Linked DNA regions of Oryzias latipes. The protein of the gene in region 1 binds, or shares a complex with, the protein of each later gene. Links are inferred from orthologs where the notes say so. Each region holds a gene or a part of one and is shown in the gene's direction. Other genes may lie near its edges.

Evidence for each region.
Region 2: sarnp (region 1) and thoc7 share a complex: the UniProt entries of both Homo sapiens proteins name them as parts of the transcription/export (TREX) complex. The link is inferred for Oryzias latipes from reciprocal best matches to the Homo sapiens genes SARNP and THOC7.
Region 3: sarnp (region 1) and thoc3 share a complex: the UniProt entries of both Homo sapiens proteins name them as parts of the transcription/export (TREX) complex. The link is inferred for Oryzias latipes from reciprocal best matches to the Homo sapiens genes SARNP and THOC3.
Region 4: sarnp (region 1) and thoc5 share a complex: the UniProt entries of both Homo sapiens proteins name them as parts of the transcription/export (TREX) complex. The link is inferred for Oryzias latipes from reciprocal best matches to the Homo sapiens genes SARNP and THOC5.

Annotation. Positions count from the first base shown.
Region 1 is NC_019865.2:25,903,110-25,909,746, forward strand, and holds the start of sarnp (SAP domain-containing ribonucleoprotein), read left to right. Parts: upstream 1-3,057; 5' UTR 3,058-3,073; coding exon 3,074-3,184; intron 3,185-4,016; coding exon 4,017-4,116; intron 4,117-4,203; coding exon 4,204-4,247; intron 4,248-4,516; coding exon 4,517-4,587; intron 4,588-4,821; coding exon 4,822-4,873; intron 4,874-6,351; coding exon 6,352-6,425; intron 6,426-6,637. UniProt on the Homo sapiens protein: Binds both single-stranded and double-stranded DNA with higher affinity for the single-stranded form. Specifically binds to scaffold/matrix attachment region DNA. Also binds single-stranded RNA. Enhances RNA unwinding activity of DDX39A.
Region 2 is NC_019863.2:16,701,961-16,708,063, forward strand, and holds thoc7 (THO complex subunit 7 homolog), read left to right. Parts: upstream 1-2,602; 5' UTR 2,603-2,622; coding exon 2,623-2,710; intron 2,711-2,934; coding exon 2,935-3,055; intron 3,056-3,481; coding exon 3,482-3,609; intron 3,610-3,701; coding exon 3,702-3,788; intron 3,789-3,882; coding exon 3,883-3,940; intron 3,941-4,029; coding exon 4,030-4,096; intron 4,097-4,199; coding exon 4,200-4,269; exon of another isoform or gene 4,270-4,346; coding exon 4,347-4,408; 3' UTR 4,409-4,504; downstream 4,505-6,103. Other genes in the region: interferon-induced GTP-binding protein Mx, read right to left, coding at 4,815-5,039, 5,142-5,393. UniProt on the Homo sapiens protein: Component of the THO subcomplex of the TREX complex which is thought to couple mRNA transcription, processing and nuclear export, and which specifically associates with spliced mRNA and not with unspliced pre-mRNA.
Region 3 is NC_019868.2:29,381,692-29,387,672, reverse strand, and holds thoc3 (THO complex subunit 3), read left to right. Parts: upstream 1-2,416; 5' UTR 2,417-2,451; coding exon 2,452-2,631; intron 2,632-3,152; coding exon 3,153-3,309; intron 3,310-3,383; coding exon 3,384-3,588; intron 3,589-3,665; coding exon 3,666-3,827; intron 3,828-3,893; coding exon 3,894-3,994; intron 3,995-4,078; coding exon 4,079-4,242; 3' UTR 4,243-4,382; downstream 4,383-5,981. UniProt on the Homo sapiens protein: Component of the THO subcomplex of the TREX complex which is thought to couple mRNA transcription, processing and nuclear export, and which specifically associates with spliced mRNA and not with unspliced pre-mRNA.
Region 4 is NC_019867.2:13,552,388-13,558,944, forward strand, and holds the start of thoc5 (THO complex subunit 5 homolog), read left to right. Parts: upstream 1-2,658; 5' UTR 2,659-2,790; intron 2,791-2,990; 5' UTR 2,991-3,022; coding exon 3,023-3,121; intron 3,122-3,292; coding exon 3,293-3,436; intron 3,437-3,753; coding exon 3,754-3,867; intron 3,868-4,125; coding exon 4,126-4,223; intron 4,224-4,726; coding exon 4,727-4,873; intron 4,874-4,945; coding exon 4,946-5,060; intron 5,061-5,136; coding exon 5,137-5,269; intron 5,270-6,557. Other genes in the region: tfip11 (tuftelin-interacting protein 11), read left to right, coding at 1-103, 247-381, 509-612, 690-858, 984-1,227, 1,367-1,509, 1,623-1,788, 1,914-2,260. UniProt on the Homo sapiens protein: Component of the THO subcomplex of the TREX complex which is thought to couple mRNA transcription, processing and nuclear export, and which specifically associates with spliced mRNA and not with unspliced pre-mRNA.

The DNA of each region.
Region 1 (6,637 bases):
GCCCCATTGTTTCCCCCTGTGTCTCGTCTGTTCTGTCCTTCCCTTCCTCCTGTGCTGCTCCATAGGTTCATGTTCCCCTGTTTCAAGTGTGTATAAGATTTCGAGTTTGCCTGCCTGCTGCAGTGGTTTTGGTTTGTAGTTTTTCTTTTGTTATTAAAGCCCCTTTTCCCCTGAAAACCTTCTGCCTCCTCCACCTCTCTGCGCCTGGATGCTTCCCTCATTCCCCGTTCGTAACACTGCATACATTTAGCCCATATTTTGCACGGATAAAAATTGGTCATATGTGAATATACGTGGAAAAAGGGAGAAAAGTTGTGGTCTTTACATGAAATTTTCCTCAGATGATCACAAAGGAACCAAGTTAAATTGTAAATGTTTATATGCAATTCATTAGTGATTTGTGCTTTAATTACATGCTTATACCTTGCATCGAATACGCGACATAAGTTATACATTGGTGGTACAAAGTCTATTAGGCATACGTGGAACAGTCAATAAAAGCCAAAAATTTGCGTATGCATATCACAAAAATTACCAACAACTGCGTACGCTTTATGTAATAATTGCGTAGAAACTATGTGAAATACGCATAAACTGTGTAGTTCATATAAGTGTAATTCTCAAGCAACCAAAAAATTTTAAACAACTCAAACTGAATTCATGTAAAGACCTGTCGCCCAAAACCATAAATGGACATCTGTGTCTATCGACGAATGACGAACGCAAGAAACACGTATGAATGACGTAAACCACACATGTCTCAGTCACAGTATAAATATAAACTTACTGTTAGTAACAGAGTAGGTTTAATGTCTTGTGTGTGTAAGAAATCTCTGATAAATAATAGGATACTTGAATAGACGGAGGAGGAGGCGTTGGAGTTTTTTAAATATAATTTAAACATAAAAATATATATAAATAATGCTTTAAACACAGCCTTCAAAACGTTCTTAATGTTTTCATTTTCTTGTATATAAAACCAAGGATGAATAAAACAAATTTAATTTGACTTTCAAAGAACAACTACTAAAAAAACAGCAAGAATACATTTCAATCCAAACCGTGTGATGCACCACGGACCCGATCCTGGGGAAAGCGTACATTCTTATTGTGTACCATTAAAGTGTCAAATTGGGCTAAAATTAAGAAGGATTTATTATTTATTGCCTAGTTACATTACACCAATCTTAGTATGAGACAGTTGGGAGATTTTTCCTGCTTTAATAGCAAACTAAAAATAGGATTTTTCTGATTTTTTAAGTGTTTTTGTTGTTGTTTTATGAAACACAAACCGAAACAAAACCCAAACATTTGACCACTTCATTGTAAAGACGGTGTATTGTTGCATCCCTGCAAAAAACAGGTGATGCTTTTATTCATGAAAGGTTGTAACTTCCTAAACCTCTCATAGATACATCTTCACAATTGTAAAGAAAAATGTATAACAATTAGGCCCTTTTTTTAACCAAGACTTCACCGAACTGTTTAAATTTAGATGCATTGAGAGATTTTCCCGCTTGATGTCATGGAAGTGCTCTCATACACAGAATCCGCACAGACTCCTTGGAAGGTTTTGTGTAGCTTTGTCCGCTGTATCCTGCTGCACGCTTCAGTGTGCATCTTAATGTAATGTGAAGGGGTAAGGTTTGATGACTAAACATTAACGTGCAGCAGCAGCTTTGTGTTTCTGTGTCATTAGAACAATCGCTCACACATTCTTGCTGAAACAATGGAAGGAATGCAACCATAATGAGGATTATGGAAGCACTTGTGACTCCCTAAATTCATCCGGCTTTGTCCTTCATGCCCACAACTTGAAAGTCAGTCTATTGGAACTTTTTTTGTCTGTGTATCGTATGCCGAGCTGCAGCTTGGGTTAAACCTCTTTTTGAACAATGTCAGCATTCACAGCAAATCCAGTTTGAACACGTTTCATCTGTTTTGTGTTCACCCTGACCCCGCCTCGTGTCTCAGTCCATCCACGCCTGAGACCCGCTGGTGTTGGGTTCTTTCAGCCGGTGGCGTGTGTCAGCTGACCCTCTTTAAGAGCCAAGGTCAATGCTGTCAGTTTTTGTTCAGTATTGTTGTACTGTGATTGAATTTTTTTTTCTCTCACCACGAGAACTGCAACATAAATATAAAAAGGAACAAAATCTGTTTTACCTCTGTTGTGTGTAGTACTAAAACAGAAAAACTGCTTAAACTAGAATTTTATTTTTATTTTTTTTTGGTTAAACTCTCATTAATTGTTCAAACATTTCATACAAGCACCTGCATTCCTCTGTAAACCTCTCAGACTTGTAGATGGTTTTGATTCCTCAGTCCAGCCTGAATTTATTTTTTACAAACATGGCCTGGTCAGGTGAGTTAATAGTTTTGAAACCAATGTGTTAAACAATGAAGGTGACATTTTAGGCCTATCTGACATTTTAGATCTGTGAAGATCCACACCTGATGATTCATGGAAAATTAGGAAAAATAGTCTTTATTTATTTGCCACATGGATGTAGCAAATAATTTTTTCATCAGACAGTAATATAATTGTGTTTTATAGATGTGGTTGAAAAAAATACATGTTTTAGAAAGTTCCAGCATGATGTCAACTGATTTAAATGTAGCTGTTACTCAAATACATGAATGTGGATCCACTGCATAAACTGCTTCCATTATTCCTCCAGGTAAAGAAAATAAAAGAAGAAAATTAACTTCTAAAAAACATCCACAATCTATATGGCAAAGATAAGATAAAATGAACTGAGAACAAAGAAAACAGTGAGGAATGTCTACGAAAAAAGTATAAATAAGGATAAAAAATGTTAGTAAACACTTTTTATCTGAGGCTAAATTGAATAAGTATTATAAAATCGCATTTTAATCATGATTTTATATAATAAAAAGTTTGTTAAGGTCTTAACACGTCTTTTACATTTATTTTTACAAAATTTTGCGGCGATTTATTAATTTTTATTTTGAACAAAATCTCTACAAGTTTGTTTAAAATGCAGCAGGACCATCTGCACGGCGTTAATATGCCCGACAGGAGGCGCTGTGATCAATGACGTCGTTGTGATCAATGACGTCGTTGTTCAGGAGCACAGAGGAAGAAAAGCTCGACTCTGATTGGACGGCAGGAATACATCAACAGAGAAAGATGGCTGAAGTGGTGGAGCTCCAAAAGCTGAAGGTTGGTAGAATTAAAAATACGTTTTTCCTGACATTGGGTGAATTTCTTTGTGGTGGAAATGATGAAGTCAGTATTTACACCGGAACCAGCTAGCGGGGTGGCGGCGGGCTGCAGAAAATCGTGTTCTCCGGGTCTTAAGTCTACGAACCGGCATGTGTTCTGAGCTAATCCGGGCTAAAAGAACGACGAAGGAAACGCGGAGGGAAATGAACGGATAATCTGAGAAACTATCTTTCAACCCACCAGTAATAAAGTTCGACGTAAAACAATGAAAACAATCAGTTACAGCAAAAATCGAGAGGTGGGTAAATGGACCGAACCACAACCGCTGTTTGGAAAGACAAAATAAAAATGAGAGATTTTTTTTACTTAACTTAACTCAATCCTGCATTTCTGCTTTTCAAAGCAAATGTGATGAACGACCATTTTGAAAATAAGTAATCGTAACATACATATATATATATATATATATATATATATATATATGTATATATATAAAAGGAAAAATAAAATTCTAACAATGCACAAATTATTGTTATCAATTTAAACTGATTTAGTTCAACAGATGATGAAATCAGTTTATGTAGGTGCTTTCAGATCGTGGTAAATTTATCTTTAATAAAAAAGAACCGTCCTTTCGTTTACAGAGTTTTATGGAATAGTAAGAAGGTTACTGATGTGGAGATGGAAAAATATATATATATTTTTTTATAGTTTCAATTACACCAATATTTCCAAGCAGGTGTTGGCTGATCTATGTTTTACTTTTTTTGAATCACGTCAGTAAATTTTAAAACCAATTGTTAATTTGAGGTTTCATCTTCCCTTTCAGCTTGCTGAGCTGAGGCAAGAGTGTGACGCCCGCGGTCTGGAAACCAAGGGAAACAAGGGCGAGCTGATCGCTCGGCTCCAAGCCTACCTGGAGGAGCACGGTGAGAACCGGGTGACCCGTTTTTGCACATCAACCAAATGTTGTTTCCTGCCAGCTCATATTGTCTGTGTTGTCATCCAAACCACAGAGGACGATGTGGATGTTGATGAAGTTCTGGCAGAGGACACACCGGTAATGTCTTTTATTCTATCCGTTCTCTTCTAGTTTAGCAATAAAACAGAAACGTTCAATCAATGTTTGTTGAGAAAATCAATATTGATTTGTCAAATACACAAATCTATTCATTTTATTGATTACATTTCTTCAGGCAGACACAGCTCACACACAGTTTTTAGTTGAATAAACTCCAAATTTTATCATGAAATATTGTTCAGGTTTGTTTCTTCTGCTTGTTTGTTTCACAAAAGCAGTATGTCTGTTTTTTTTTCTTTTCTTTTTAGGAATTCACTAAAGTTGAGAGCTCCAACAGCATAAAGGAGGACAACCACACTGAAACAATCGCAATTCCAGAGTAAGTTAACTGTACAACAAATGTGCTTTTTCCTCTTTACCTTTCAGATTCCTCTTTGCGTGTGAATAAAGTTATCGTTTATCATTAACTATTATTGTAAGATAGTAACTTTTCAGGGAATTACAGTCGATGTTGCTCAGATGAGAACATCAAAAAAGAGTTCAGCTGGATCTGCTGGACTGTCATGTTCTTAGTTTTTTTTTTAATTTTTGAGAAAATAAATTCTACCTTCAGGTCTGAAGACAAGAAAGTGGTGAAAATCTCTCCTCCGTTGTCTGCTGGTGAAGTAAGTATGAGTCGTTTTCATTCACAAATAAACCTTGGTTTAGATTTTAGATCACGTCTGAGCTCTGAAATCTAATTTTAGAAGAGAAAAGCTTCAGAAAAACACTAGTTGACCTCAGACTTCACCTTTGTGCTCGTGTTTGCTCCTTTGGTTTGGTGTTTTTAGATTAAGTTTTGCTGAAATCTCACTTTGGGTAGATGCTAAAGCCAAACTGTTTAATACAAAAACATCTATTTTTCTGAAAAATAAAGCAAATCTTTCCTAAAAAGTGGAAAAACGAATCTGTAACTTAAATTTAACCAAATAAGAGCACAACCTAGTTATTTAAACTTAAATATTTTGCTTTTTTAAAGGACTCCATCCATTCATATTATTCATCATACTTGATGAATAATATGCTCTTACTCTGATAAGGACTGGATTATGGTGACTTTGCAAAAAAATAAATAACAATAGTGGTAGGATAACATCAGTGGCGGACCGTGCATTACACACCTGGGCCTTCAGTAGTGCAACGTCTGAATCACTCAACGCCTCATTAACCATATTATGATGCAGAAACTAGCTTTGCATTGCAGATTGAAAATTCCTGCAGCCACAATCAGTGCCTCTAAATACAGAAAACAGTAAACAAATCTTGTTATGCAACTACAGCCAGCACAAAACATTACCGCTACCATAACCACATCAATTAGGAATTTATTTATGATATTTAGATGTTCACTCATCAGAAGATGAGATTATTTGATGACAAAATCCACCCTCCTCTCTTTCCTCAAACAGTTCCATCATCCTGTCATGTAGATTATTGCTCTTCAGTTCCGTCAAGAAGTCATTTTCTGCTCGATCAAGGCCAGTGCTGAGAGCCCAGTCTGTCCATTTGTGTTGCTGCGTAGGTTTGAATTCACTTTAGATCCGAAAATGTCCGCTGGTCAGACGCAGTGAACACGGGGATGGTTGGTGCCAAACGCACAAATCTGTATGGCTGTTCATGCTCTCACTTAGATTTTTATTGGTTACTGTCTTTACTGTCAGGTGTTTTGGATAAAGCAATTGTCTAAAAAAAGAAACTTTTCTCAGCTTTATTGTCCCACATGGAGGAAAACTATTCTTTTCCCAAATGTGTCATTTAAAATTCATTGTTCAACCTTTAAAGCAGAAACCAATTCTTAATGCTGCCTTGGATAAATGTTCAGAAGAAGGGAGATTCTGAGGCTTCTGGTGCTCTCACATGTACAGTAGTTGTACTTCTGTCTATCTTTTTTCTGTTTTATTTTATTTTTTTAATCCTGATTTCCAGCGTCTTCCAACCGTCCTCGGCGGCCTTTTTTTACCTGGTGAAAACGCATCATCCTTTATTAGACACTCAGAGCCTGCAGCTTAGAAGAGTTTGGGGTTTGAAAGGAACAAGCATGTTTTTAGGGTTTTGTGATGAATTTCAGACAGTGACGTGTCATTTGTGGGCTTTTGTTGAGCAGAGGCTGCAGAAGAGGGCGGAGCGTTTCAACATGCCTGCAACCGCTGAGAGCAAGAAGGCCCTGCGGGCCGCCAGGTGAGGCTCCAGCTTTCCTCATTTCCCTACAGATGAGCGAGTGTTTCTGCCAGAAACACCGAGGAGAAGCACAAATGCAGGCTATCTTTGGGAGGAGAAATCAAAGATGAATAATAATAATAACATAGAAAAACAGGAACATTCTTTAGTGAAATGCATCTGTTCTTTGCACTGGCTGGAATTAGTTAACTTTTATATTCTGCAAACCAGGA
Region 2 (6,103 bases), on another chromosome or scaffold:
GTGAGGGAACTAAACAGTTTTACAACAGCTCTGAGCACCAATTGTTTATAAAATAAACATGAATATTTTGGCGAAACCAAATGAACTCTGAGTTTACGGCTTGAGGAGGAGGAGGAAGGACAAACATGCATCAACTCCCTGTAGACTAAGCTTGCTTGGGACAGTTCTTCAACCTCCACTATTACTTTTATAAAAAATTAATACTACACCTACCTGTTCGCTTGTACCTGTCTGCCACTCCCTACGTTAGTATCCAGATATCTGGTGAAGGCTGTCCTCAATCTGATTGATTCTCACCTGATCTTAAAAGGTGGCCAAAACCAACTAAACTGGATTGGATGAAATGTTTTTTATGATGTATGAATGATCATGTTGTCTTATTTACAAGATGTAAAACTGGATTACATTCTGAGGTGACTGGAGAGAAAAAAGATGTGTTTCCATCCAGGTGGGGATTTAGAGATATTTGCGTACTTGGGAACAAGGAACAAAAGATACAACAGCTAGGCCTTATGCCAAAAGGTCTATGGAGACAGTTCTCCTTAGTAAATGTTGCATCTTTCAGTGTTTACATTAAAAATGTTGCAGGTTTCTGGTGGGGAGTGCTATTTCATTTAACAAGCGGCAGCGTTAGAATGAAGCAAGCAGAAACATTGAAGCAACCAGCTGATTCAGTGATGTTGCACAGGAAAAAAAGTTAACTCGAAAGAAAACTCAAAGGCCACTAAATAATTTTACCCAACACAAGCAATTACAAAAATGACTAAACATTAACTAATGAAAACAAGACATTGCTTTTGAATTGAAGATTAACAGAATCAGGTTAGTTCTGTCGACTGGTATCAAAAGGTATTTTATTCCTACAGTCTACTATCATTTTATATTTTTACTGTGGACTTCAAAAACACATTTTAATTTTGTGAAGAGATTTGTCTAAATTAATTAATTTAGAACCTTATAAATATTTTTGAGGTTGCTTTTTGTTTTCTCTTTTGAACCAACAACAGATGCAAGAAAAACAGATTTATTCCAGGTTTATCTAGAAATTCTAGGCGAGAACATCTTATCTTCTGTGAGAACACTCGGGATTGGGTGGCATCAGTGGGTCAACTTTGAAGTTCTTGGCAAAGCTCAACATCTGCAAAGGATTGCCTTCAGATAAAACTGAAAAGTTATAAAGTGACTTTCACAATCATTTGATGTAAGCTTTTTAGAAGATTTCTGGTGAGATTTTAAAAGAGGTTGAAGCAATCAAAATTTTAATTATTTTAAACTGTGGACACTAGCCATGAGGGTGTTCTAAGTGCTGAATCTGCACATAATGACTGTATCCAAATCCTTTTTGAGATTGTTAAAAAAGGTGCTTTGCTTGTATTTTCAAAACCATAACACACTCCCACTTAAAATGTTTGGTTAAATCTAGGCATGAATATGTTAACCTCTGATTTCTAATTGGCAAACTGCTGAAAGTTTGTACTGTTTTCCTGTAAATCTAATATACGCGTGAACCTTTGTTAAATAACAAAACTCTATTTGCCCACACGGCTGGTGTTCTGGTGAGAAATAGAGCACATTAAGTTTCAAACAAGTTTCATTGTAATTTTCTAAGGTGTAGGAACAAACATGAAATCAGACCTGAATTGATCTGTCAGAAAAAAAACGAGGAAGTGGTGACCAAGAAAATATGTTGGCCAAATGAAAACCTGTTTAAATCTATAGTTGAAGCAGGTATTGTACCTATAACCGTACCAGTAACATTACTATTTATGAATTATTATAAATGGTGAAATTAAAGCTAGATAGAAATCTTTGTCCTCAATAGCCACTTAGTAGCTAAAGGTTCTTATAGAACAGAGGTCTGCAACCTGAGGCTCCGGAGTTACATGCAGCTCCTTTATGATTCCATTGTGGCTCTTTGGTTTTGAAAAAAAAACGCTAACGATTTGAGTTACTAATAATGTTTTGGGGTTGTTTTTTTTTTTTTTTAATTTATTTATTAAACTTTCTTTTATTTGGATTCTGCTCCAATGTTGTCATGTTAATATATGACTATAAAAGTAGAAAAGAACGAATATGCAGCAAAGTCTGACTGATAGAAAAGTCTATGTTTGACCTGACTTTCTTACATGTTTTATTCAAGTGAGTCTGTTGGAGGATTTAATTTGACATGAGGTTTATTTCGTTTGAAAGGAACCTATATATGCTGCTGTCAAAAGTAAAGGAAGTTAATATTTTAATAGAAAGAAAATGATAAAACTTTCATAATTCAATTATTTTAATATCTAAATGCTACATGGTAAAAATGAATGGTTTAATGGTAAAACAAAATATGTAATGTGCCATTCTCGATTGATAATTCAGCTTGCAATTTAAGCATTCAATCTAAAAAATGCATTTTAGAATTTAAAATTCAATGTGTAATGCTACAATGTAAGCTGACATTTTTAAAAGCAAAATGTTAAATAAAACAAAATCAATTGTATTCTAAACTGTCATTGGTTTTTAGTCCAATAATATTCTGCAATATAATAAAAGTTCAATTTTGCTGTTGAGTCTAAAAAGCACAAAAATGTGGGAAAAAAATTGCCACATTGAATGTCCACCAATAGGGGGCAGTAGAAAATGAAACCGCTGATTTTAACCTGGAAAAAGAATCTTGCTCTACCGGAAATAGTATTGCTCATTGCAAACATGGGGGCCGTAACAGATGGTAATTTGGTGGTTACTTCGTTTAATATAAAGTTTTATTAAAAATAAATAAAGTGTTTATGTGTTAAGTTATTGTATACAATAGCTTATTTCTAGAATGTAGCAGTGTTTACGCAATCAGTTGGGAGAACTGTGCAGCTAATTTATTGCCCTGCAGTGCTAGCTCAGATTAGCAGGTTGCAATCTAGCCTATAGTTTATCTTGTCTCTTTCGTTTCTGTTAAAGATGAAGTCATTCGGAAACGTCTTCTTATTGATGGCGACGGAGCCGGAGATGACCGCCGGATCAACCTGCTGCTTAAAAGCTTCACTAAATGGTGCAACTCGCCCGGGACTCCGGAGGAAGGGTCAGTGCTGAATGAATCTGAGTCTGAGCTGACGCATCAGAAGATTTACTTTCCAGATTTTAATGTGATTTAGCATTTACGAACAACTCTTCTTGCGAAAGAAAAGTCACATTAGTTAGTTCTTACGTTGTGTGTACAGGCAATTCCAAGCTAGTTTATCAAACTCCATAGAAGGTTAACGGGTCTCAGTTGCATGCAGTTATACTTACCCAAGGAGAAGAGTAACTGTCTTCTCTACAATCTATGGCAAGCAGAGTGTGACACACAGCACAATGTTTCAACTCTGACCATGCATTTCAAAAGGCTGTTTCTATACATTTCCATGATGTGTTTTTATATACCCGAAGAGTAGAATGGTGTCTTCCTTGTTAAATATGCAACAAAAAATCTCACTTTAATTCCTTGTGGTCTTGTGTTTGCGTGTAGATTCACACAGTACCAGCGGATGTTGGGCACTCTGGCTCAGTGTGAGTTTTCCATGGGAAAGACGTTGATGGTTTATGACATGAATCTTAGAGAAATGGAAAACTATGAGAAGATCTATTCAAATATAGGTGAGGTTTTATTGCTCTCGTCTGGAAGCATTTCTGTTTACAATATTAGATTTCATCTATATACCCCCCCCCCCACCCTCCCCCCATTGCAGAACAAAACATCACATCTGCACATGAGAAGATTGCAGAATGCAAAAAAGATATTCAGAGGGCAAAGAGGATACGAAAAAATCGCCAAGGCAAGGATATTTTGATATGGATTGCATATTTTATTTATTGTCCTTTTTCAATAACATCCTTGGAGTATTATAAATATGTTTGTATTTTTTCCAGAATATGATGCATTAGCCAAGGTAATCCAGCAGCATCCAGATAGGCATGAAACACTCAAGTAAGTGGCTCCGTTAATTCAGATTTTCGATTGCTTGTAAACAGCGTACAACAGTTTTGCTTCATTTTTATTTATTTATTTTCTTTCAGGCAGCTAGAGGCGCTTGACAAAGAGCTCCAACAACTGTCCCACATCAAAGAGAATGTGGATGCAAAGGTATATCCAAACAGAATTTATGCAGCTTCTGTGTATTTCGCTGATGATTTGATTTATTTTAAAGTTGTTGTTTTTTTCTATCAAATTTACTGTTCCACCATAGTTGGAGTTGAGGAAGAAGCAGTTCCACGTTCTTCTTACCACCATTCAGGAGCTACAACAGACACTTGAGAGTGAGCACTTTATTCTTAATGCCAACTGATTTTAAAATTGTTTCAAAAAGTTAAACTCAAAATTTGTCTTCTTTTAGATGATGAGAAGTCAGATATTGAAGATGCCAGTCAAGAGAGCCCTGCAGGGAACAGTGAATAACAGTGGAACAGAATGAAATGTTCTTAAATGAGTTTGGGTTTGTGAGACAGAATGCTTTTCGTATGTATTTTTGAATAAAATTCTCTTGATTCTGTCGCTCTGTCTGGTTTTCCCTTTTATTGTTTCAAATAAAAATAAAAAAATCAAAGTTCACAGACTGATAATAATTTCCCTCTATATATATGCCCAAATAAAACAATGAACATAAAAACATGCTCCACACTCGAGGTGATTATAACAATATATAAAAGGAAAACATCTGTGTGCCCATATAATGACTTTTGCTGCTGTAAGATAATCATTCCTGTTAGAAACAGCAGATTCTACTGGACTACCCAAACACAACAACTGAACATTTACACTAACATGTAATTTGGAGATGCAGAAAACAGATCCTTCAAAGTTTTTAGAACTCTACTAGGTATGCACGGGCCTGCAAAAGGCGCTTAAGGCGATTCTGCAAAGTAGCCCTCTTACTGCCGATGTCAAAGTCCTCCTTCAGCAGGAAATCCAAGTTCTCCTTGTCCTGAATCATCTGCAGCATCTCTCTCTGGAGCTGGCTGGCTGATTGTTGCAGCATTTCATAACGGATCACCAGGGGGATTTGATCAGCTAGACGCATGCCAGCAATCTGCAGGATAATGTGGAATAAAAGATAGAAGCCATAGCAGCTATGCATACATTTAGCTAAAATCAACGAAAATTCAGATTAAACTTCTTCAAAAAAAAGTACCTTGTAATAAGATTTTAGATGCACCATCAGCTCCTGAAGAGTAGCGTAGTTGTCGAGGCTGAAGACGATGCTTCTTTCTGAGTAAGGAGCTAGCGGTACGTTCTCTGAGTCCTGGTCTTCTTTTTTGCTCTCACTTAGACTATTGCTGTAGGTCTTGTCTTGGGAGTAAACTAGCAGCTCCATCTTAAACTGAGTTCTCAGCATGGTTTCAGCAGAGGACTCTCTTTCTTGCTTTATGGCTTCAATTTTTGCCTGTTGTAAAAACAAAAAAAAACCATTTCATTTCAAATGAACTCAATATAAACTTAACATAAACATATCGTGCGTGTGTGGGGTTTTTTCTCCAGGCACTTTGGCTTCCTCCAACCGTCCAAAACATGCTAGTTTTTTTAGTTGGTTAGTCTAAAGTGTCCCTAGATGTGCATGTATGAGTAATTGTGTGCCCTGCGACAGACTGGATCCCCAGGAGCTCTATGACCCTGACAGGGATATAGCGGGTTAAGAAAATGGATGGATGGAATTTCTATTATGTCTTCCAAATTAACGATGAACAAAATTAAATACAATTGTGCTCTTTGTACAACCAACAGAATGAGAAATGTTAAGCTGACGACGACCAATGAAGGAAAGGACGCTGTATAACAAGCCAGACGACATTTTTAAACAGCAGGAGGAAAAAATGGATATGAGCCTTTTGTTCAATATTTTAACATCATCAGCACAAAATTATTTCAGTTTACTTTTAGATATCATAACATTTCCAGAAAATGCACAATGCGATTATTGGAAAAAACAATAGGTCATAAGATAAATCGTTTGAGATAGCTGCTGATATAGTTGGCATGCAGCCCAGCTCAGAACAGAAAGTTCTGGTCAAAGTCCCTTCAGAAACTTCAGAATCACTTCAGAGGCATAACATGGGGACAAACGAGATCCGATCAATACGACAGTTACTAGCATAA
Region 3 (5,981 bases), on another chromosome or scaffold:
CACTTTGAGGCCTTGATGAGGAGATGTGGGAGGGGCTTGTGTTTTCTCTCTACCTCCTGCTGTTCCGTCCCTCCCCAGGAGAAACGATGTCTTCCTACCCTCAAACAGCCCGTTGGCCTGTACGCACAGGTGCCGCGGACGCCACAACCTCCAGCTGTGCTTATAGGACCCAGACGGCGTCGGAGCCTTTCTGACGCCACCATGAAGCGTGGCAGCGGCGTGCGGTTCCTCTGTGACCGTTTTCTGCAACGTCAGCTGTTTTTGACATGAAAAGCCGAGTTTTATTCCTCTGAATCCTAAGATGAGAGTCTCATTCCAACCGCCGACTGTGTCTGAGAACTGGACGGAGTGGCCCCGCCTCCCTGGCATCCCAAACAGGAAGTGGCTCCAAGAAACCAGAATCCCACAGACTTCTACAGAGAAATAAACAACTGTTCCTCAAGTTATAAACGGACCAATCAGATGCCTCAAAAGCAGGAGGCGGTCTCACATGGATTGTTCAAAGCGTTTGATTGACAGATCCTCCAGAGCTCACTTTCAGTGGAAGGGGTGTGGCCCTCTCAAATCCTTACTACTGATTGGCCAGAGTTGTTGCTATGGAAATGTTGACTCTGACCAATCACTGCTTACTGACAATTCCAACATGGCGACGGCCGCATCCTGAAAAAAATGGCGTCCGCATTGACTTCATTTGGTTGGAGCCAGACTAAACCATTTTCTAGGAATGACGTAAACTCAGTCCAGTTCTCAGATGCAGTCAGTGGTTCCGTCTCCTGCAAGGAGCCTTCGCTAACTGCTAACATTCTTAGCTAGCAGTTAAAGGTCAGTCGCTCGCAAATCTAACTGAGGTGCAACACTTTAGTCCACTTTAGCGAGCTAGCACCTGCTTTAAGCTAACAAAGATCATTTTTTTCACACATTTTGTGAAAAATAATGGGGGAAAAAACCAATATATATTTTCTCGCCGTGCTAAAGCAGATCCTAGCTGTGAGCTAAAGTGCGCCGTTCCGTCCGGGTCTGACCCGAACACAAGTGCTTCTCTGTAAGTCCAAATATTCGTCATCAAGCCTTAGCTCACTGCTTACCATCCAGACTTGCTGCTATTGGGCAGCGCTAGCATGTAGCATCAACCGGTTTGGCTATGCAGGACATGAAGAAGCTGCAGCTGATGCAGCTCTGCTGAGGACCTCCAACAGTTCAGTCTGGGATGTCCGTAACTATGGCAACAAAAACCTGGAACAAAAATGCTGGTGTGTTTCTGACTGAAACGTAGCAAAAGCCAAAACGTTTGACCGTAGATTCAAACACGATCCTGAAGTCAGGACAGGAAGTTCGGCTCTTACTGAGATCTGGGAAACGACCGAGTTAGAGGCACAGAAATATGCAAATAGATCCACATTTTTTGGGTGGAATGACACACAGCTCCCATTTTGCATGAATGTTGTCTACATTTTCTGCTGAATTTGAGCAAACATGGTCCTGCTAATGTTTCACAAGAGTCGGCTCCATTATGGCTAACGATCGACCTTCATGCAGACGTGAGGGACGATTGTCTCACGTCAGTCACCATGAGTTTCCATGAGGTTCCAGACCCAAACCAGACGAGAAGAATTTGACCCTAGAAGCTGCTGGAAAACCTCAGTCAGAGTGAGATCACCTGTGCAGGTAAAACCCTGCAGCTTTGACCCGCCCCCCCCCCCCCCCCCCCCCCCCCCCCCCCCCCTCTGATGGGGGAATTGAACCCTCACACTGATTTTCTGCATCCAGTTTCCATGTTTTTAAACCGGAATTTTCACACCTGAAATAAACTGCAGTTCAGATCAAACCAAACAGTCTTTGTCTTTTTCATTGGTGAATTATTAGCAGAAGTAAGTAATGAAGTCACTTTTTAAAACACGTCTACATTTTACAGATTATTTTACGGTCTGCCTTATTTGTTTGTACTAAATAAAAGCACATATCATATGAAGTATTAGTTATTTTTGACCTGATGATGTCAGCACCACCTTTGCAATTTTCTTTCATCTCTGGAATCTAAAATCAGGGAAAAGAAAAATCCTGTCAGTGACACAAAAAGTGTTTTATTTGAAGAATACTGTCATTTCTTTGTGACACTTTAGTTCCAAAATGCTCCAAAAATATGAGAATATGTCTATGTTTAATGCCTGTAAAGATAAGATTAATTATCTTAAATAATAAATATTTTATCTTTATTTATTTATTATCAATGGGGAAATTATCTGGATCATCTGGTTTTTCTATTTTCAAAAGTCTTTTCCCATAATTCCAGTTGATCCAAGAATTTCCCAAAAAGTAACAATAGTTCAAAGATCTGTCTTCAGTAACGCGTCAACTCACTGGTCGATGAGTAAACTGCACGCGCGGTCCTCCGGCCAGCAGGGGGCCCTCGCGCTCTCCTCTAAAAACCATACGTCACACAGTGGGACCAAGATGGCGTCGCAGTACTATCAGGAGATGCAGGAGAGCTTCAGAAATAACAGCAAAAGTCGGGAGTTTCCGGCTCATTCGGCGAAAGTTCACTCGGTGGCGTGGAGCTGCGACGGCCGGAGGCTGGCGTCCGGGTCTTTCGACAAAACCGCGAGCGTTTTCGTCCTGGAAAAGGACCGCTTGGTGAGAAACCGGCTCGTTTTCTGCTAGCATGCTAGCTTTAGCACAAAGACAGACGCGCGTGCCAAACTCCTTGGAAGGTTATTTAAAAACAGAGAAGTGATGGATTCAGAGGAGAAGGCGGTGTTTTGTCACTGTGGATCGCCCTTAAAAAGTCAAAATAAAACTAAAGTAATAATAAAAACTATTAAAAAAAAAGAAGCAGCTGATGTTTCCAGCTGGGAGTTACTTGAAGGGGAAAATATTCACCTCAAGTCATGAAATGTTCCGTCAGCTTCTTTAATCCATCATCTTAGTTGATGCACATCTGAGGTTCTGAAGCTAGTGAGGTTCTGGGTTTGAATCCTGACTCTGAGTTTGCATCAGGAAGCTGAAGTCTTCCAACTTTCATGTTTCTGTGTTGGACAAAGACTTCAGCGGTGGAGGAGGAAGACCCACTGCAGCATAAATGTTAACTCATACCGTTTTAGAACGGTACTAAACGTTTAATGGCCACCAACCACTGAAGTGCGTCTTCTCCCCAGGTCAAGGACAACAACTACAGGGGTCACGGCGACAGCGTGGATCAGCTGTGCTGGCATCCCAACAACCCGGACCTGTTTGTTACGGCGTCCGGAGACAAAACCATCCGCATCTGGGACGTCCGCACCACCAAGTGCATCGCCACCGTAAACACAAAGGGTAACCGGGACGGATCTGAAGACCCGGAACGATGTCGAGGAACGTTTTAACGTCTGAACTGACTTTGTTTCCAGGTGAAAACATCAACATCTGCTGGAGTCCAGACGGCCAGACCATCGCCGTCGGGAACAAGGACGACGTGGTGACCTTCATCGACGCAAAGACGCACCGCTCCAGGGCGGAGGAGCAGTTCAAGTTCGAGGTGAACGAGATCTCCTGGAACAACGACAACGACATGTTCTTCCTGACCAACGGCAACGGCTGCATCAACATCCTGAGGTCAGAGCGCCACTGTCGCATGCCGACCCGCGCCCACCGGTCACATTGAAATAAAAACAGGTTCTGGTGCTGCGCAGTTACCCGGAGCTGAAGCCCATCCAGTCCATCAACGCTCACCCGTCCAACTGCATCTGCATCAAGTTCGACCCCACGGGGAAGTACTTCGCCACGGGAAGCGCCGACGCGCTGGTCAGCCTGTGGGACGTGGAGGAGCTGGTGTGCGTGCGCTGCTTCTCCAGGTGGGTTGAGCCGCCGAGGGTCCGGCGTTTGCTGCGAGCTTTGTTCGAGTCTCTGCTCTGCTGCAGGCTGGACTGGCCGGTGAGGACGCTGAGCTTCAGCCACGACGGCAAGATGTTGGCTTCAGCGTCGGAGGATCACTTCATCGACATCGCGGAGGTGGAAACGGGTCAGTAAACCTGCAGCCGCACAGGCGGTGAAGATCCCGCCCACTCGGCTGTCACTCAAAGCCCATCTCTCCTCCACCCTACAGGGGAGAAGCTGTGGGAGGTGCAGTGTGACTCCCCCACCTTCACCGTCGCCTGGCACCCAAAGAGACCCCTGCTGGCCTACGCCTGCGACGACAAGGAGGGCAAGTACGACAACAACCGCGAGGCGGGGACGGTCAAGCTCTTTGGCCTTCCCAACGACTCCTAAGGGGGGCTGCGGGCGCTCTGCAGTAACGTCCCGTCTCCAGCAGAGGGAGCTCCTCACTCACCCCCTTTTATTTTGTACTGTACAGCTGTAAAATACTTTTTTATAATAAAATCATTTTTAACCTGCAGAAAAACTTAAAACTGTTTCTGATTTTACATTGAGTTTAACTTATGCTTGAACTGAGCTGCAACTATCGGAATAAATATTTTAGTATTTGACTAAAATGATAAATTATAGAAATGTGTATCGGAGTAAGATGCTGGAGAAAATACTATAGATAGAAAAACAGTTCCTCCTGTGCTGGGACACTTCAGTTATACGTGTGGGTTGAATTTCACGGATTTGGTCCTTTATTTTGACCATAATTAACCCTTGTGCTATCTTAGATGACCCCCCCTCCCATTGACATGTTCTCCCTACCATGACAAAGGTGGATAAAGGTGGAAAGATTTCATGTAATCCATGGACACCAGTGAAGATCACAAATCATTGAAGAAAAAAGATTCAGAGCACTGTCGGTGGGTCTAGATCAGTGTTTTTCAACCTTTTCTGAGCCACGGCACACTTTAACCTTAAAAAAAATCCCGCGGCACACCAGCATCCAAAAATTTTAAAAAAGAAGGATAAACTCATAGTCTGTATTGATCTACAGCCCCTCCACAATCTCACATGCATTTTTGAGATAATTGTTGCAGAAAAAGCTGGAAACTGCAGCTGTTTTTTTTCTAAAAGATTCAATAAAAGTTAAGTTAGAAGATTTAAAAATAGTTTTAGGTGTGTTCGTTGGTTTCAAGACGTCTAACGACAGATCTCCTTGTGCGCTGTCCCTCTCACAACCCAATGCATCATGGGAGATGTAGTGCATAAAACGGCCGAAGATCGCTTTTCGGAGCTTCATTGTTTTGTTCACTTGTTCCACGGTCTGATACCGGATTCTGTGGAAAGCTACAGCGCAAAAGACGAGCTTTAGCTGGTATTTTTGTTAGAACTGAGCGACTTTACGAGCTAAATCGGGACAAGGAAGTGAAGACTTTAACCACTTCTGATTGGTCAGACTGATGACATGTGATTAAGCCCCTCAAGAATGATTGGTGGAGACAGTCAAAGGGACGGGACTTTTCCCAAATACAGCCGGAGCTGCAGCTGAATCGCGGTACGGTCATTCTTATCAAAATGTCTTTAATAAAATAAAATAAACGCAAAGAAAAAGTATTTTACGATCTTTTATATTCCTAACTCCTCAGTGTTTTATCAGGGCCTGTTTGGATGAACAGAGAGCTGATATCCTGGAGATGGGAAATGTTTTTAGATCAGTTAATGAGGGCAATTTTCCACGGCACACTTGACCATCTCCCACGGCACACTAGTGTGCCGCGGCACACTGTTTGAAAAACACTGGTCTAGACGACCCAATTCCCAACGTTAAAGTGCCTAGGATAGCACAAGGGTTAAGAGAGTAGGAAGTGATGATGATGATAAACTGCTAAGAAAACAAACTACTTCTTGCAGGTCAGAAACTAAGTTTTTTTTTTTTTAAACTTGTCCTGTCCAACAGCTAGGCAGGCAGATGAGAGCTGAGGGCCTCTTGTGTTGGACATATTTTGCTTTAACAAGAGGGGTTATTAATCTTCAGACAAACCAAAGGTATGTCTGAATAAACCCCTTTTGTAATTGAGGCCAAACTTTATTAATTTCAACCATGTTTGAAAATCTTTGGTGTTGGAAAGGACGGAAAAGGA
Region 4 (6,557 bases), on another chromosome or scaffold:
AGAAGCAGAGCAAGATGCCATCCAGAAAATGGAGGCTGTTTTGGCACTGGTGGAGCGTTTTCCCTCTGGAGAGACGCCACCAGGGGAGGGACCGACTCTTCAGGTACGTGGCACATGAAAATACCCAAACTAGATGTACTTATCTTGCAGTTTATTTGTTCCTAATGGTTTTTAATCTCCATTCTTCTAACATTTAATCATTTTGAACATACTTATTTGTTTATTTTCTCACCTCTCTGTGCCCAGGAGTGTGCCCAGATCTTTGAGACTTTACAAACAGATTATTATGAAGAGTATAAAATGATGGGATTGGCAGACCTGGCTGTGGCAGTTGTTCATCCTTTACTTAAGGAGAAACTTCACTCATGGGAGCCTCTAAAGGTTTTTTTTTTTTAATTATTCTAATTAAATTATTACGCTTTTATTTCTGTGGGGGGGAAAACAAACACCTTATTTTCAACATGTTGCTCAATTAAGATACTAGAGTTAAGACTGTTTTTTGTTGTAGGACAGTGCATACTGTCTGGAAGACATTGGTCAGTGGAGAGCAATCCTTGAATCCAGGGATCTTCGTTCCAGTGGCCCAGACTCCAACATGGATCCTTACCACAGGTCTGTTTAAAATACTCACTTTTACATGTAAATGTTCACATTTTGATTTTTAACTGCATGTGTCTCTCTTTGCTTAGACTTTTATGGGAAGTGTGGATCCCTGTGATGCGTATGTGTGTGTCCGGGTGGCAGCCCCGTATGGTTGGACCGATGGTGGACTGTGTGACGTTGTGGGCTCCTCTTCTGCCTCAGTGGATCCTGGATCACCTACTGGAACAGCTGATCTTACCCCGCCTGCAGCGCGAGGCAAGGCACACAAATTATAACAATCCTACATGCTTTTTTTTTTTTTTTTTTGTTCTACTTTTTCTTGCATCTGAAGTGTGTGTATCACCTGTCAAAATCTCCCTACATTTTCTCTTGTTTATTAGGTAGATAACTGGAATCCTTTAACTGACACGGTGCCCATCCACTCCTGGATTCACCCTTGGCTTCCTCTACTCCAGTCGCGCCTGGAGCCTCTCTACCCACCTATCAGGAGCAAACTTGCCAACGCTCTGCAGCGCTGGCATCCGAGTGATGCCTCAGCGCGCCTCATTCTTCAGCCATGGAAGAACGTTTTTACAGCAGGTGCATGGGAGGCCTTCATGGTGAAAAACATCATCCCTAAACTAGGTTGGTTTTCTTTAGTCACTAGCTTTAGGCGTTGCAAAACTGACTGGATCACTGACTTCTATACCTTTTCATTTCCTGTCACAGATTTATTTATACATATATGTATTTCACATGTGAAAATCTCTCTTTCCTGCCAAAGCTTTATGTCTGGAAGAGCTGGTCATCAACCCGCACCAGCAGCAGATGGAGCCGTTTCACTGGGTGATGGACTGGGAGGGAATGTTGTCTCCCTCCAGTCTTGTGTCCCTTTTTGACAAGAACTTTTTCCCAAAATGGTTACAGGTATGTGAATGTCATAACAAATAGTAAAATACGTAAAGCGTATTTCTTAAATATATAGGTTGAATAAATCCTCTGAAATTGCTGTATTTTTTATTTTTATTTTTGGCTTTTAGGTTTTGTGTTCATGGCTGAGCAATAGTCCTAACTACGAGGAAATCACAAAGTGGTATCTCGGCTGGAAAGGCTTGTTTAGTGACATTCTGTTGACTCAACCTCTCATTAAAGAGAAATTTAATGAGGCTTTGGACATCATGAACCGTGCAGTGTCATCAGGAATGGGTTTGTGTACACACAGTCTACTTCATAAATATGAAAACCAAAGATCTACCTTAATTCAAACTATAAAAGCAAAGTTTGAGAGATCTTTGCTTCACTTATGTTGAGTCCGTTATTCCTTTTCACAGGTGGATATATGCAGCCTGGTGCAAGAGAGAACATTGCCTATCTCACACAGACGGAGAGACGGAAAGACTTCCAGTATGAAGCCTTGCAAGAGCGCCGGGATGCAGAAAGTGTTGCTCAAAGAGGCATCGGTTCTGGTGTGCCAACTAACTTTAAGGATCTAATTCAGGCCAAAGCAGAGGAAAACAACATTGTTTTCATGCCCATAGTGGCCAAACGGCACGAGGGGAAACAGCTCTACACATTTGGCCGCATTGTTATTTACATAGACAGAGGTGTTGTGTTTGTGCAGGGGGAAAAGACTTGGGTGCCAACATCTTTGCAAAGTCTGATAGATATGGCAAAATAAATGTACCTTAAAAGATATTTTGTTTTCAGGTGCTTTTATTTTTGTCTTAAAAAAAATAAACCAGTTCATTTCATGTATCTTTAGATGTAGTTTTTAATGTGATATTTGTAAATAAATTATTTCTGTTTATATGTTGTCTTTCTTGTTGTCCTTTGTACCCAAAAATAGATATGTTGATACAAAATATTTGTGGAGGTTTGTTTTTTAATTATTCTTATTTGGGGATATGTATGTTCACTGATTTGCACACCAACTTAAAATTAATTTATAAAATATTGCTGTGTTGAAAAAATATATACATTCTTATTTTAACGACAATTTTACGTTCACTGTATAAAATGTTTAAAAAATTGCGGAGATTATTTTTTAATCAAGCCAGTATTAGTAATACCAAGAGGAACCGTAGGGGGCAGTGTAGCGATTACCATTGATTTTCAGTCATTTCGGCTTCCGTTGAAAGGCTTTGTGCGATCCATAACATCTGCCTGTTCGTAATTTAGCCTCTTAACGTGGACCTTTCCGCTTATAAGGTACGCAAGCAAGTTTTCAAATGCAGAAAATAAGAACAAAACAGTAAATTGATATTGTGGACGTAGAAGCTAGCGGTTGTGAGCCGTTATTAGTCACAGGCCATGATGGTGCTAACAGTTTAGCATGCTAGCATATTTTGTCGATCGAAGTTGTTTTATTCTCACTATATACATCTATGTATACATATGTTATTTTTCAGAGTTATAAGTGTGCAGTTACATTTAGTCAGCCATGTCATCTGACTCTATAAAGAAACGCAAGTCGAAGGTTCTTCGTAACGAAGGGGGAACCACTGAGATGAAGCGAGGCCGAGGGGAGGTCGAGCAGCAGGTACCCAACCAGTGTTTCTCACGAGTTCTGACTTTGTTATTACAAAGTATATTTATTATACTTTGTTATTATTATAATGGCGATCACAGTAAAGTAGTAGTGTTATAAATCTGTGGAGTGACATTCTTCATAGATAAGAGTTTTAATACAATAATGTCTCTCTTTTTTTAGGATGTTCGCGTGTATAATGAGGAGGTGGAGTTGGACGGCAGGGAGCCTGAACACGACTACTTGCAGTTTAAAGAGTCCTGTGAGACTCTGGCTTCTCTCATGAGTGAAATCCAGGAGCTTAAAGCTAATGGAGCTAAAGAGGGGGTATGCTCTTTCAACTTTACAGTTCACGCCAATGTCCCTGCCAAATGATCATTTTCATCAGCCTTAGCATAGAAAGTAAAGTAAGGTAAATAATTATTTAAAAGTATCTAGTTGAACTCTGACAATCATCAAGCTTGCAGTAGTTATGACATTTTTGAGGTCAAAGTGTTATCAGTTATTGCCAAGTGTTCATTGCCAATAAATATGATCTAATGTCTCTAATGTCATGTTTTTGACAGATACACCATCATGGTGAAGGGACTTTACATTGTAAGCCCCGTCTTTAATAAATAATTGTGTTTTCTCTTTTGCTTCAGTGTGCCGAGGTTGAGCAGAAGCGCATGCAGAGCTGCATCCTCTTCATGACCTTGAAGAAGTTCAACCGCCTGGCCCACATGCGGCTAAAGAGAGGACGAGACCAGACGCACGAGGTAACTTCCACACGTCTCTGTAATGCATTGCTGTCTTAAGAGAAATGTGAACGTTGTTTTATGCACTCAAAAATTGTTTTATCATCCGATAATGTCACTCTTATTGTGTGTCTTGATTGATCACTATGCTATATGTTTTTGTTATTGGTCTTTTGTATGTCGAATCCTTGTCTTGTTTGCCAACTTGTTTAAATATTAACTGTGTTTAAAATGTTACCATTGTATCAATGCCTGATCGTTGATTTTTCGTCTTCCTAGGCAAAACAGAAGGTGGATGTGCTGCACCTTCAGCTGCAAAACCTGCTGTATGAAGTCATGCATCTTCAGAAGGAGATCAGCAAATGTCTGGAGTTCAAGTTAGTCCTTCCGAATTTATTAACTGGTTCTAACACAAAATTAAACCACTTTTTTTGTTATCTGATTACATTTTTGCAAATGTATGTACTGAAAAATACTAGATTGTTCACTTATTTCACATTGCTAGTTCTTTAATTGCTTTAGGAAGGAATAAAATCACAATATTTAAGTTGCTGACCTGAAATTGCTTTCTACTGGTGTTGCAACTGAGTCTTTTAAAGAGCCGATAACCCGGGGGGGGGGGCATATTTATGTGAAAGTTAATAAAGACGAACCAATTTAGTTTGTGTCTTCTCTAGGACTTTATCCAGATTGCTTAATTTCTTTTCTTTATTGTTTTCTAAAGCGCTTAAAACTTTGTGACTTTTCCACCACTCCGACAAAAAATGTATGCTTTTTAATTATTTGACCTGTTTATTCTGTTTTTATTGACATGGCACAACAATGTTAGTAGTTTTAGAAACAACCCTGGGTTAAAAATATCCTTTTGTTTTTGCCTCAGGTCAAAGCATGAAGAAATAGACTTGGTCAGTGAGGAGGAGTTTTACCGGGATGCTCCTCAAGAGATCTCCAGGCCTCAGCTCACAAAAGACGATCCACACCAGCTCACACTGGCCCGGCTGGACTGGGAGCTTGAACAGAGGAAGAGGTTTGCTCTGTTGTTGTTACTGTTTTTCATTCTCCTGAAATAGATATGTGCTAAAACGTCTGTATGATACAGATTGGCAGAGAAATATAAGGAGTCTCAGTCTACAAAGGAGAAAATCCAGAAGAGCATTGAGGTGAAGAAGGAGCATCTGAGAAGTTTGCAGCCGGGACTTAATGCTATCATGCAGGTATTAAAAAATAAAGCTCAACTTGAACTTGATCTTAAGTTTTTAGTTTTTAATATTCTTCTAAATCTTCTCCCAGGCGTCTATCCCAGTGCAGGAGTATTTGTCCATGCCGTTTGAGCAAACTCAGAAACAGACCGAGATTGCCCGCCACCTTCCTCCACCCCTTTATGTGCTGTTCGTTCAAGCGAATGCTTACAGCCAGGCTTGTGGTGAGCAATTTTCTCTGTAGGGACAATAGCCGAAATGTCAATATGAGTTGTAAGCAAGGTTATTATAGTTAACGAAAACGAACGAAAAAACTAAAACTAGAACTGAAAAAACATTTTCATTAACTGAAATAAAAATAAAAACGAGAGTTTTATAAAAAACGAAATCTAACTAAAACTGTTTGTTGTGTGTATAAAACGAACTGAAACTAAATAATATTAACCCCAAAAAATACTTTGTTTTCGTCTTTGTTAATACATAAGTCTTTTGGGTTGAAATAAAATCTATTTACTTCACGCTGCTAGTTTTACTGTGTATCTGACCCTTACGGCATCACGTTGTCTGTGACATCACATGATGTCTGTCAGACACTGCCGGCTAGCGTGGTCATAGACATTTACATGAGCGTGATGGCTGCATTAAAAGTTGGGAGAAAGCGGGAGAGTCCTATTTGGGACTTTTTTGAATATAACAAAAGTAAGTGCCTTGTAGTCGAAGCAGGAGACAAAATTTGTGGAACGCTCCTCAAAGGGAAAAAACCCTACGAAAAGTACATTTAAAAAGCGCACACAAAAACGCAAATCAACACTACCTACAAGCTAGCCTGCCGCCCGCCCTCCCCCGAAAAAGAAGCAAGAGCAGATAACGTAATGCTGTTATCGGCTGTTGTATTTTAATTTAAGGATGGTTGTACTTGTGTCCTCTGAATAATAAGTGTTTCAAAATGTATCTTTGATTGATTTTTTATCATACAACACTTATTCTGGTGATTTTGAATCATGCACCTGACAAATATCCTAATTTACAAAAAAAATGAAAAAACTAAAACTAACACTACAACTAATAAAAATTAAACTAAAACGAAGCAATTTCAAAAAATAAAAACTAGTAAAGCTGCCTCTAAAAACTAATTAAAACTAAATAAATTTAAAAACAAAAATTCAAAACGAAATAAAAACTAAAACTAATAAAAAATCCGAAACTATTATATCCTTTGTTGTAAGTCATGTTTGTCAACAGGTTCCTTAAGGATTTGGCCTTTAGGCTTCTGTTATGACTTAAAATAAGAGATTTTGGTTATATTTTTGTTGTTTTATCAGTACATTTTTATGTTTTGTATTCATTGGGATAACACTTATGACTTTAGACTGACATCAGACACACGAAGCATTAGCAGCATCTTTAAATCATTCCATTCAGTATTCAAAACGATAAACTTGAACCATGTATAGTCCATATTCTTCTTCTTCTTTTTTTTTCCCAAACCATATTTGACACATTTCAGAAAAT